Linked DNA regions of Arabidopsis thaliana. The protein of the gene in region 2 interacts with the protein of the main gene of each other region in a pairwise test. Each region holds a gene or a part of one and is shown on either strand. Other genes may lie near its edges.

Region 1 (6,094 bases), on a different chromosome or scaffold from region 2:
GAGTATCGTCGAATGTAATAAGCGATATATGTTGCTTGTTGAATGCAAGCCCAATTAGCGATATCTAGTTAAGGAGAACGACATATAGATCAAATCTCATATATCAAAGGTATATGAGCTAGTCTTTATGAATTATGGGTGTGTTGTAATATATCAAGAGATTCTTTCGATCTGTACAGATGTAGTGAACGAGTATTTATAAGAAATATATGACTGGAACTAGTGACAAAAGGTTGAGTGAGTTGGTCGAATCGTTTAAGTTGTTGGATAACAAATAATCGAATACGTTATATTGTGTGTAATTTCGGCAGATGGAACATGAACTATTAACACTACTAGATAACTTTTTGTGATGCGTCGTCACTTAGGTGGAAGAAGGCATGCACGCGTTGTCGAACAACACGTTTTTCTCCATACATGCACATAGCCAGTCTCATGTGGATCGTCAAGCATTTCCAGCATCATAGGAATTTGATCATTTTTGCTTGAAACATGATTTGTTCTACGCAGTATCAAAACTTAGTTTTGAGATATAATACTCTTTAACTATTGTATATAAAATTTTAATTGACCTATGTGATACTATTAATATTGTTTAATTATTTATCTATATTTTTCTTTCTAATTTATATGTACAAATTGATTTATTTATTTTTAATTTCTTACTATTGTTATTCTATATAGTATTTTTCTCATCTATATCCTCATAATTTATTTGAAATCGTCTCTAATATTTTGTTTGTGTTAATTATCTATATAAAAGTTTAATTCCTTTTATACTTTATTTGTAACTAGTATTATACCCGGTGCATAGCACCGAAAATTAATGTTATGATACATTCTTTTTTTGAATTTAAATGTTATGATATGTTACATATTATCGATATTTATACATGAAAAATTAATTTTATAAATAGATTAGTATATAATCGTGTAGGGAAAAATATATCGTTTCATGTATTTGTGGATTTTATTTTTTCAGATGATAATTTGATATATAATGGAGAATTGAAGTTGATATCACAAAATTATTAGTCTTCCAAATATAGAGAATTAGCTTCCAACTTCAATGCTTTCTAGAATACATACAAAAGCTATAAAATAAAAAATTACATATGGTATTCAAAGACTCAATACAAACATAGATTATAGTCATAGACAAAAAAAAGTTACCAGAGTGAAGTTGACTCAATACATAGATGATATCATTTATGTCTTAATGTTGTACACTTCTACTTCGTCTTCAACCTCCTACTACTTTGCCATTGGTGTTTTTCTTGCTCAAGTCTTCTACTTTGTTTGTGTTTTATCCTCTATCGATCAAGTTTGCTTGTTTATTTTTAGTGGTTGATCTATGAAGCAAAAAGATATTAAACATACATAATAAAAGATAATTCAAAAACAGAAAGCATTAATATACTCATCTAAACGCAATCAATAAAATAAAAGAAATATAACATACGCTGGCCATATTGCCTTATATGAACTGATTAGAGATTGAAGACTCTTGTTACAAAGAAGGTCTCGCTCCTAAATGATTTTACTCTCAACCTTCTTTTAAAAACCAATATCAACAATAGAAAGATGATACCGAGATTTGTATATATAGGTTTGAGATCGTATCTGTCTTTGTTTCCCAATAGTTAGTTTGAATGTTTTAATTGAAAAAAAAGAGTTACATAGTTTGAATAGAAGAAAAAGAAATTGTGGGAGTATGGAGAATATGTGGGTTGATTTTTATTTTCTTTTGAGAGTGATCGTGGGAAAATTGACGATAATGTTTTAATTTTGTACACTGTTTTCACATTTAATTTTATTTTGAGTTTTGTCGAAAAATTCATTTTTGTTTTACATTGTGGATTTTGTTTTTGATAAATTTGCCACATGTCAAAACATGATTTGCCAAGTGACTTGTGTTTTATAAGATAAAGGATATATAATGTATTAATGTCACAAAAAAAGAATTACATTGCATAATTAAGAGTATGCATCGATTACATATTTACATCATATCTTTTCATATTTATCCTTTTTCTTAATATTCAGATTACGTTCAATCTTTTCTAATATTACTTTTTTTTTTAAACAACGAGATTGACACCAATGGGAAAGTCTGCTATAGATTACGGAAGCACGATGTGACCTAACTTGTTTGTATTAAATTCGGCATCGGAACATGGATCTTAAGGAATATCCTTTCCCACCACCGCAAATGTCCGTTTGTTAAATCTGAGATTTTTCAATCCCATTATATAATAACTCAACAAAATCTCTCTGTCCAATTTCCAAAGTCAACTCCTTTTTGGTTTTTGTTTTACTTTCTGTTTTCCTCTTCTCTACTCTGGAACAACAACTACACACACACACAAAAAAAAACAATTTTCTGTCTATATATATATTAAGGATCCAAATTAGGGAGAGACCAAAGAGGAAATTAATAACAATCAATCCAACAACGAATGGAGATTGAAGAAGCGAGTCGTGAAAGTGGACATGTTGTGTGCGGATCATGGATTCGTCGCCCGAAGAAAGTAAACTGGGTTCTTATCGCTAAAGCTTCCAAACGCCGTGGCTCATCTGTTTCTTCTCCTGCTCTCCTCAACATCTTCTCTTTTGACCCCATTACTGCTTCTCTTTCCTCCTCTCCTTTGGTAAATTTTTCTTACACCTTTTGAATTTTTCAATCGAGAGCTTCGAAATCTTATTGGGTTTAGGGTGAAATCTACTATAGTTCTTTGGATTGCGAAACTTGGGTTCTTCTGAATCATGCAATAAATCTAGGGTTCTTCAAGTTGTTTTCTTCTGATTCTGAGAAAGCAGAGCAAAGCCCCTTTCTTTTGGTGTTTACTTCTGTGGACTAATGAAATAAAAAAACCAACCTTTTTTCTCTTTTTTCTTTGACCAAAGGCAACACACACGCTTAAGGATAGTGATGGTGATCCTGTGGCTGTTTCAGTGCACCCTGGTGGGGATTACTTTGTTTGCTCAACCTCCAAAGGTGGTTGCAAGTACGTTTCTATCTCTGCTTTTACCACCCAAAACTTATGATTACTAGACATCCTACAGTTCCTTCCTCTGATACTATGTTTCTAAATTTGTTGAGTTGGTATTGTTAAACCTATGATGAGAACTAGATATCAGATTACTAGAACTTTACATTACTTCTCTCATTACATCAGACGATCTCCCACCTCCCATGTTTGCTGATGTAGAATTAATTGTAGTGAGGCTTGAATTTCTTGTGTTTAAGGTTTGGTTTATTTTATATATGCCTATACTTTTGTTGGAGATTGCCGATGCCTTTTATAATTGGTCTCTTTCATAATATTTTGACTTCCCTTTCTTGCATTCATCTTTAGCAACTCTACTATTCCACTTATTTCATGGATACGAGGAGTTGTCTTCAACCATTTTTGGACACTGTCTACCCCATTGTCTATACAAATTTTGTTTTACGGTCTAGATGGTAATTAAAACTTTATTTGGTTTTCAGGTTATTTGAGCTTGTCGGAGGAGCAACAGGTATTACGATCTTAGCCAAAGAACTCCTTCCTCTCCAAAATGCTGGACTACAAAAGTGTATGGCCTTCAGCTTTGATGGGTCTAAATTAGCTGTTGGGGGAGTGGTAAGGAACTGCAATATAAGGGATTTTTTTCTTTCACTGTTGCGACAATTTAGTTGTAGCTTACTACAAGTTATTTTCAGGATGGATGTCTTAGAATTATGGAGTGGCCAAACCTAAGTGTAATTTTGGATGAGCCAAAGGCACACAAATCCATCCGGGACATGGATTTTAGGTAAATACTGGAATCTTCTCAACCACCATCCCCCCTTTTATATTATTTGTAATGCAAAACTGTAATTGAGGTAGTAAAAAATGGTCTTCTGTATAGAGCTGAGAATTGGGTTATACAACACAAATAGTAATTAATGGAGATTGTGAAACGAAACCCATTGTGTGCATCTTTCTCATATTTGTATATTTTTTTGTAGTCTTGACTCAGAGTTCTTAGCTACAACATCAACTGATGGATCAGCTAGAATATGGAAAGCAGAAGATGGTTTTCCTTTGTCTACTTTGGAACGTAGTGGGGTATGTGATTGTGAGAGTTAAAGTTTGCATTAGCATTCCTATATTTCTAAACTAATAAGATCCAGTGAAATTTGTATGAAGGATGAGTTTCCATGTCTATGATCTTTTCCAATAAATATAGTTCTGAGATTTCTCGGTCTCGATTTTGTCTCTGTCGTGTTTCCTATATTGGCTTCTGATATATCCTGACTGATTCTGATATTGTCATGTCTGCAGGATGAAAATATTGAACTGTGCCGTTTCTCTAAAGACGGAACAAAACCTTTTTTGTTTTGTGCTGCTCAAAGAGGTATATAATATATCCGACTCTCGAGTAACATCACTAGTATTTCAAATTAAAAACATCATATGAAAGCTTAAACTATTGGAATCAGGTGATACGCCTATGGTCAATGTTTATGACATTAGTACATGGAAGAAGCTTGGGTTCAAGAAGCTGTCAAGGAAGACTGCATCGACAATGGCAGTGAGCTTGGACGGGAAATATATTGCTTTGTGAGTCTTTCTTCATCCCGGGCTGCTTATCACTATCAGGCTTGTGTGATTGTACATAAAACCTCATACTTTGCACCTATTTTTGTAGGGGTGGGAAAGATGGAGATGTATCTGTTGCTGAAGTTAAGACAATGGAAATCTACCACTACAGTAAGAGGCTGCATCTTGGTCAATCCATTGCTTCACTTGAGTTCTGCCCCAGTGAAAGGTATGGGGAAGCAATTGAAAGGATAATGATAAATCAAAACCCTTATGTCTCCGCATTGTTTCTAATGTTGATCTTTATCTAATTGGTTCTTTCTAGGGTTATGCTGACAACTTCTAGCGAATGGGGAGAGATGGTGACCAAACTCACTGTACCAAAGGAGTGGAAAGGTTTGTTGCTAATCTCTTTCTCTGAAAATATGAATGGCACATATTTGGGGTTTATACATTTGTTTCTCACTATTATCTATTTGTTTGATGTGCAGAGTGGCAGATATATGCACTGCTGTTTTGCTTGTTCATGGCATCAGTGATAGCTGCATACGTATTCTTCGAGAACTCAGATTCGTTTTGGAAGTTACCAATGGGAAAAGATCAAAAAAGACCAAAGATTAGTCTATTTGGAGGTTCCTCCTCCACGCCTTCTGAGGATCATAGTAGGTGGAACTTGGACCTATAGAAAGATTATGTAACTTTCCTCTGCTTTTTCTTCTTTCTTCCTTATCTTGTTGCAGCGTTTTTTTTTGTTTTTTTCCTTTCTTCTGATTTTGCTCTGACAAATACCTGTTGATTAATTGATTTATTTACAGACAATTACTGTTGCTAATTACTTGTGCTGAAAATATTATTAAAATTGCAGAGAAGATCTTTTGTAACAATAAGAGACGTGATGGCGTCATATGAGTGGTCCCATTAGCTCTTGAGAAATATAAAAATAGAACCTCTCACTTTTTATCTTCATGAAGTAACCTCTAACAAAAATAATTAGACAGAATAACCCAATTCAATATTGACGGTGCTGATGTGGCAGCAGATATTAGTTTTGTGAAGAGGGTGTTTTTGTTATTGTGGAAAGTTGGAGACTTTTTCTAGTAATGTGTTCCACTTTACGTAACAAACAAAAGTGATTGCATTCCCGGTGCAGACCGTGGGGTCCCAATTGTATCGTCGTGAGTCGCGTGACCGTCAGAGTCACACTCACAAACATTTTTGGACATGAATTGAAAATTATTATAATTACCAGATTTTTTATCTATCGTCGAACTTGGGACTGAGAAAGTAGCAGCTTCGTTTGCTTCCTCTGATATTTTTCTACACTCTCTGTCTCTCTCTAAAGATGAATTGTCTTCAGAATCTTCCCAGGTATCTTCTTGCTTTCCGAAATTAGCAAATGTTGTTGATTTGTGTGGTTCTTTGATTCGATATGAATTTGTGTGTTGTTGATGTCTTTGATCGTCATTTATTTCAGATGTTCAGTCTCACCTCTGCTGGGATTCGGGTGCATTCAAAGAGATCATTCT
Region 2 (3,573 bases):
GGTACAATCTCATGAAATTTGTGTCCATGGACAGATTGAGACAATTTTCAAAGGGAAAGCATGCCTCGAAATTAGAGATTCTGCGACGGGCTTGACAAAGCGGTTGGCGCAAACTGCTCAGGAAACATTTGGTGATTTTGAAGAAGCTGTTGAGAAAGATGCTACAAAGACTGCTGTTCTAGATGGAACTGTCCACCCACTAACAAGCTATGTCATCAATTATGTCAAGTTTTTATTCGAGTAAGTACATCATATATACTCAACTTATTTCCTCGAACTATTTGCGTATTGTTCTTCTCCATACTGCTATTTGCGTATTGTCCCTTTCCACGCTTTAATTGATGATCATTGGTGTCAGCTACCAAACAACATTGAAGCAACTTTTCTTGGAATTTGGAAATGGAGATGACTCAAATTCGCAGCTAGCATCCGTAACGATGCGGATAATGCAGGCGCTTCAAAACAACTTGGACGGAAAATCGAAACAGTACAAAGATCCTGCATTGACACACTTGTTCCTGATGAACAACATTCATTACATGGTCAGATCTGTGCGCAGGTATATTATTTTTCTCGTTTAAACTTTAAAGGCTGATCTGGTTTTATTAAAAAAATAAAAGAACGCACTCATTTAGCTTTATTCATATGATAATTTTTCAGGTCAGAAGCCAAGGATTTGTTAGGCGATGATTGGGTTCAAAGACATAGGCGTATCGTGCAGCAACATGCAAACCAATACAAAAGAGTTGCCTGGACAAAGGTTCTGTCTATTTGTCTAACTCTGTAAAGAAACACTATTATATAAAATTTCATTAAATTGTTACTAAGAAACTGTTACATATTTTGTAGATACTACAAAGCTCATCGGCGCAAGGTTTGACCTCATCTGGGGGAGGAAGTTTAGAGGGAGGAAACAGCAGTGGAGTTTCAAGAGGATTATTAAAAGAGAGGTAAGTCCTAAACATGTAAAATAAACACAGTAATTGGCAAATGTTTATATATTTGGTAATGATGATAAATCTGTAAAAAAAAAATGGAACAGGTTCAAGATGTTCAATATGCAGTTTGATGAGTTGCATCAGAGACAATCGCAATGGACAGTTCCAGACACAGAGTTAAGAGAGTCACTAAGACTTGCTGTTGCTGAAGTATTATTGCCTGCTTATAGATCATTCCTCAAACGCTTTGGGTAAAAATCTCCTTTCTCTCTTTACTGCGAAGGCTTTTCTAATATTTGATTGAAATGTAAAAAAACCTAAATGAGATTTTAACCTATGATCGATGCAGGCCTTTGGTTGAGAGTGGGAAGAATCCTCAGAAATACATAAAGTATACAGCTGAAGATCTTGAAAGATTGTTGGGTGAGTTGTTTGAAGGAAAGTCTATGAATGAACCACGCCGGTAAAAAAACAACTAAAAGATGATGAAAACTAATTGTGTAAGGTAAATTTCTATCAAACTCTTCTTTTTTTTGGCTTACCTTACATAACTAGGTTCGTTGCTATTGTATATGCAGTGTCAACTTTTCGTTTTTTGTATTCTACTATTCTTTGGTTGGAATGAGAATGTGTAAATTACTTGGAGACAGAGTTGTTTCCTTTTGTATACGTTAAACGTTTTGAAATAACCATGGCCTAATAAGTCTAATCTCAACTCACAAGGATATGAAATCTTTTTTCTTAGAATGAAATTAATCGGAAATCAAAATCCTAGGCGTAATTTATAAAAAAAAATATGCAGTGAAGGAGCTAAGTTATAAGTTGATATGATTGACAATTGCTTTGAGACGAGCTTTGGTACTAAAGATCGAGCCAATAATATTTGTCCGAACAGCTGAACTAAGCTTGGGGACAAGATTGTCATGCGGATCAATTCTGTTATTTTCTTAATGGATTTTAGGTGATTAATCAGTTGTTATTGAACAGAACAAGACAGATAGAGCTCTACCGACTTGCATACTTAAATGAAAGAAATATGATTTATTAGTAAAATAAAGAGTGATGAGATGGTTTTGTTGTTTTAAAACACACATGTTTGGTAATTGGCATATTCCTTTTAGAAGATCCAAATTCTCCCAACATCTTTACATGGACTTCCCCATTTCCATCATCTCCTTCCACTTTTTTCCCAAAATAATATAAAAAAATGATAATTTGAATCGATGTAATGAGTGTATTCAACCTCTTGTATAATTTGTCTCCATGACCAAAGACAAAGAGAGAAGCCATAAAAACCCTAACAACATCCATTGTTGAAACTCTCTTTGGCACAACACCAAACACACAAAATATGGCCATCCCCTAAAGAAACTGAAGCTCAAGAACCCTCTGAATCTATCAGAAGATCTCACCAATAAAGGGTTTTGAGAGGTTCAAGTTTCTCTTTATGGGATGGCCCCAAACACAAGAGTACTCACAAAAGGTAAGAAGAAGAAGAGATCTCTTGGAGATTATGATTGTGAATGTTCGTGTGTGGGTGTTGTGTAAATGATCATCATCATCATCATCATCATTATCCAATATCATAATTATCAATATGGTGATGATGATGATGATGAGGATTGTGTGTGAATGGAGCGATGAAGATTGCATGAAGGTTGATGAAGACAAGCTTGATGTGTCTTTTGTTATCCCTCGTTTGGGCAACTTCGATCCTTTGGCAAGCTTCGGTTCCCCTCGGAATCAGCAGATTATGATTACTATAGCTCTTATATGTTTATGTTCCGTGTTTACTTTGTTTCCGGTTTAGTTTGGTTTATTGTCTTTAATTTCGTCATGTTTGTGTTGAATGTGTGTTGTTGTTATCCCGTGTGATGCACCATTCAGGTGTGTTCCTATGTGTGTGTGAGGAATAAAAGAATATTCGGTTTTGATATCTAAAATCAAACCCCACTTCTACCTTTCATTAATAGTGAGTGTCTTCAAACAATTTTGTTTTAGCAATCTGTGTATACCTTTATCAAAAATACTTTTAAGCTGGCCCATTCTTAGCCCATTAATAGTCCAGTTTTAGCCAATTGAAATCGGGTAAATTTAAACACATTCATTCTTCTAATATGAGCATCTATGAAGAAACCCAAGAGAGCCCTAATCAAACCGTGTCTGACAAGCTATTAAATAAAAAGTCGTATAAAGTAAAACAAACTAGAAAACCTACTACAGAAAACGTAGGGGTATCTAATTATGTTTTTTTCCGAATAATACATGATTATTGTTTCTAGATAAACAATCCATAATAATAATATTAAAAAAAAAAAAAGATTAGATAACCCTAAATAACCATTATGTTATTCTAAAGTGTTTTAGAAAAAATTAAAATATAGTCGCCCATCTTTTGTTGCGTGTATCCAGCTTGGTTGCTTCTTCAACTTCTTCTTCTCCTTTTTCCTCTCACTATTGAGATCAGTCGCAGTCATCACGAGTTTCTTGACCTCTAGTTTGAGTTCCAGAATCCGTTCTTCAGAAGTCTTCTTCTCCAAGGAAACCATGTCAAGCTTTGACTGCAACCAATCCAGGTTAAAACCGGCTTGTGTCAGATCACACATATCCTTTGAAGCTTTGCTCAATTCTGCTT
Region 3 (3,851 bases), on a different chromosome or scaffold from region 2:
ATATTCTGAAAGAAGCCTTGCTCAGAGCTATCTACGACATTGATGCAACATTTACTAAGGTGTGGTGCATGGCCTTCTACTCTATCATTTGGACCGTTGTTTTTTCAGTAGCGTGATTAGACTCTGTTGTTTAATGCAGGAAGCATCTACTCGAAAGTTGGATTCAGGTTCAACGGCCACAATTGCACTTATCGCAGATGGTCAACTACTGGTTGCTAGCATCGGTGATTCTAAGGCACTTTTGTGTTCTGAAAGATATGAGACTCCTGAAGAGGCTAAAGGTTCCCGCAGCATCCCTTTTTAGACTATAACCAACCTTGTGAAGCCACTAAGAGTATAGGGGAATGAATGAACGTTTTGTTCTTTTGGTGTTTGCTTATTGCAGCTACTTTAATAAAGTTGTACAGAGAGCGTAAGCGCAATCAAGACTCTTCCCCATCAAGGTTCTCTGATTTAAAGCTGGAACATCGCACTGGACTCATGCGTTTTATTGCCAAAGAATTGACAAAGGACCATCACCCAGATAGAGAGGATGAAATGCTCCGAGTGAAAGCTGCAGGAGGTTATGTCACCAAGTGGGCCGGTGTGCCAAGGGTGAATGGTCAGCTGGCTGTCTCCCGTTCGATTGGTGACCTTACTTATAGAAGGTTGGCACTGCTGGTTGTATCCTAGAATCTCTCTGGAACACGATTCTAGCTGGTTTACACTATGAGAAGTTGAAATGTGAGTTTTGATATCTCTTTCAGTTACGGTGTCATCTCTGCACCTGAGGTGATGGACTGGCAGCCTCTAGTGGCTAATGACAGCTACTTGGTAGTGTCATCTGATGGTATCTTTGAGAAGTTAGAGGTGCAAGATGCATGCGATCGCCTGTGGGAAGTAAAGAATCAAACTAGCTTTGGAGCAGGAGTGCCTTCATATTGCTCAATATCTTTGGCAGACTGCTTGGTTAATACTGCCTTTGAGAAGGGAAGTATGGATAATATGGCTGCAGTCGTGGTTCCTCTAAAATCCAATCTAGATTGGGAGAGCCAACCAAAAGAGCAATCTGTGGGTCCTTCGGGATTCAAGATGAAGAATACATATGCACTGCCATGTGAGTTTCTCTCATCACAACCCAACTTATTCCGTATGGGATGAAGAGTGATCTTTCATTTCTAAATATATCTGTTTTTCAACAGATGGAACTTTTAATCCATTGCAATTGAAGCAGACTCAACCACTTTCAACCATGTTTAACGAGTTATTGGTATGTTCCCACCAAGACATTACCATACAAATGCCCAAGGAAAGTGTACAAGTACTTTATAATAAAATGAGTCAACCTTGGTATTGTAGGTTGAAGAAGAAAACAGCAGCTATTATAAACTTAATGGTACCTTTGCATCATATGGGTGACTTACTTACTGGTAGCCTCTTCCGAGTCATTATTCTCTGGTAAGTGAAGTGACTGACTAGTATCACCTCGTTGCAATCTTGTTTAATGTTTTATCTTTTTCTTTCTGGTTCTGTATACTGCACTAACATTCAATCACAACTCATACCTTGTAGGTGCAACTAATTTTTCAACAAGGACCAATTTTTGTGTATTCTGTTTTCTACCATCTAATTCGTTAGTTTTTGGTCTAGCCATAATTGTTTTGTTTGTAAATTGAAAATTGGAACAAAGTATAAGAACAATTATAATAATTCAAAGTACAAGTGGGTGTGTATATGTGGACGAAAAATGTGAAGAAAGTTGTTGAAATGGTTTTTAATTGGCACAATCATTTGTGGCAAAATCCAACCAATGATGTGAAAAATAAATCAAATCCAATGGAAATGGGCTGTAGAAATGAGTGCATCATTAACGTTGTTTCTCCTCTTCAGAGGCCGGCCCACTGAATAATCTTAATTCCAGGTGTCAAGATCGGAGCCGTCTGATTATATTATTTAATTGCGGGACGTATCGGGAAGGTTCTTCTCTTGGCCGCCTCTCTCGGAGTCTATTACTTCTTCTTCTTCTTCAAGGAGGAATCGGGATCGTCCTCACATCTCATTCGCATTTTGCTGAAGACTTCTCACCGGCGTTGACAAAAAAAAACGAATCCGGAAGATGTGGAATCAGAAGCATGATTTGGAGTCGGCTCAGACGCCTCTCTACCCGATGATGTCGGAGAGCCCGGAGCTCCGATGGTCTTTCATCCGCAAGGTCTATTCCATCATCTCCATCCAGCTGCTCGTTACAATCGCCGTCGCTGCCACCGTCGTTAAGGTTCATTCTATTTCTGTATTCTTCACCACCACCACCGCCGGCTTCGCTCTCTACATACTTCTTATATTGACTCCATTGATCGGTACGGTACTCCTTGGATTCTATCTCTCCATCATCTCCGGCTCTTTGATCTGCTTTCTCGTTTTTGTGTGTGTGCAGTTATGTGTCCTTTGTATTACTATCACCAGAAGCACCCTGTGAACTATCTGTTACTCGGGATTTTCACCGTCGCTCTTGCCTTTGCGGTTGGCTTGACCTGCGCCTTTACAAGCGGTATGTATGATCCAGTTGAACGATTCTGTTTTCTCCTTATTCTTTCCCTAACGTGTTTTGTTTGATTACAGGGAAGGTGATTCTGGAATCTGTGATTTTGACCGCTGTTGTGGTCATATCCCTCACTCTATACACTTTCTGGGCGGCCAAAAGAGGCCATGACTTCAACTTCCTCGGACCTTTCTTGTTCGGTGCTGTCATTGTCCTCATGGTGTTTTCCTTCATCCAGGTATCAATATCGCTCACAAGGCTTCAATGTTCTCTTCTTCCACAATAAGAGCTTAAATACTATCTTTATTGCTGCAGATTCTCTTCCCTTTAGGAAAGATCTCTGTGATGATCTATGGTTGTTTGGCATCCATCATCTTCTGTGGCTACATTGTATATGATACCGACAACTTGATCAAGAGGCACTCCTATGACGAGTACATCTGGGCTGCTGTTTCTCTTTATTTGGATGTCATTAATCTCTTCCTATCTCTCCTCACTCTCTTAAGGGCTGTTGATAGTTAGGCAGTCTTGTCTCTTTCAGATTGCTCTTAAGACTGTGCCATTGTTATCTAGTTCATATGTTCAAATTCTTTTGTCTGCAAAAGGAAATTTGGGTTGTAAAGAAATGTTGATCACTGCTTGTAACATGATAGGAGAATCCAATACATTTGTACTTGTGAAGGTTGTTGTTAGCTTTAGAAGTCATCTCTGTTCACTCAATTGAATAAAAGGATATTACAAAAGGGAATGTCTTCTACTCCATTATGTTTAAACCTATTCTTATCATAAGCAGTTCGTTCTACAAAGCATCTACTTCTTTCCTAGCTTATGTTGTTAAGGTGCCATCCATTTGGACATGGAACTTTTCTGCTTCTTCTCAGCAGCAATGGCAAGTAGCCTGGATACGCCCTGAGTCCATATCTCGTATTCCCTTTGGTTTCTGCACTCAAATTCAATGACCCTCTTTGTTTCTGTCTTTAAGCCAAAGTAGTGATGCTTGTCTCCGTTGAAAAGATCTCTGCCAGCCCATGCAGGTATATCCTTTCTCACTTCAAGCACCATATCTGCAACACAAGTCCAAATCAAAGACTATTATGACTTGTATTATCTATCTAGCTTTACTTTAAAAGCCAGGCTAGTGTAAGAGATGAAATGTTTGTGCTGAGAAGAACCTACGTTTCTTCTTCTTTGTGAAGGTCCCTCCAACGTGTTTACTTTTCATTTTCAGCACAGCTTGGCCTGCTTTGTTGATGTAGACAGAGACAATCTTCCAGTGGAGTTCACCTGCTTTCAAAATTCAAGGTCAGCGACCCTTGCTTTTTACTTGGCTTAC

What was found. The genes of interacting proteins can lie anywhere in the genome.
Region 1: the proteins of AT5G03545 (region 2) and PHF1 interact in a protein complementation assay, tested with the Arabidopsis thaliana proteins (one large-scale study listed by BioGRID).
Region 3: the proteins of AT5G03545 (region 2) and BIL4 interact in a protein complementation assay, tested with the Arabidopsis thaliana proteins (one large-scale study listed by BioGRID).

What each region holds. Positions count from the first base shown.
Region 1 is NC_003074.8:19,353,276-19,359,369, reverse strand, and holds PHF1 (phosphate transporter traffic facilitator1), read left to right. Parts: upstream 1-2,108; 5' UTR 2,109-2,459; coding exon 2,460-2,651; intron 2,652-2,907; coding exon 2,908-3,008; intron 3,009-3,493; coding exon 3,494-3,626; intron 3,627-3,706; coding exon 3,707-3,798; intron 3,799-3,994; coding exon 3,995-4,094; intron 4,095-4,310; coding exon 4,311-4,383; intron 4,384-4,468; coding exon 4,469-4,589; intron 4,590-4,677; coding exon 4,678-4,797; intron 4,798-4,893; coding exon 4,894-4,964; intron 4,965-5,059; coding exon 5,060-5,253; 3' UTR 5,254-5,503; downstream 5,504-6,094. Other genes in the region: SEX4 (dual specificity protein phosphatase (DsPTP1) family protein), read left to right, coding at 5,911-5,936, 6,043-6,094. UniProt on the Arabidopsis thaliana protein: Involved in Pi uptake by facilitating the trafficking of PHT1-1/PHT1;1 from the endoplasmic reticulum to the plasma membrane.
Region 2 is NC_003076.8:892,512-896,084, forward strand, and holds AT5G03545 (expressed in response to phosphate starvation protein), read left to right. Parts: upstream 1-2,070; 5' UTR 2,071-2,535; coding exon 2,536-2,748; 3' UTR 2,749-3,006; downstream 3,007-3,573. Other genes in the region: EXO70A1 (exocyst subunit exo70 family protein A1), read left to right, coding at 35-240, 359-559, 661-760, 850-950, 1,043-1,189, 1,288-1,405; AT5G03550 (MATH domain/coiled-coil protein), read right to left, coding at 3,302-3,573.
Region 3 is NC_003074.8:23,387,127-23,390,977, reverse strand, and holds BIL4 (Bax inhibitor-1 family protein), read left to right. Parts: upstream 1-1,939; 5' UTR 1,940-2,095; coding exon 2,096-2,336; intron 2,337-2,413; coding exon 2,414-2,527; intron 2,528-2,598; coding exon 2,599-2,756; intron 2,757-2,833; coding exon 2,834-3,040; 3' UTR 3,041-3,260; downstream 3,261-3,851. Other genes in the region: AT3G63320 (Protein phosphatase 2C family protein), read left to right, coding at 1-59, 140-281, 386-647, 747-1,140; FKD1 (FORKED 1), read right to left, coding at 3,353-3,582, 3,695-3,802.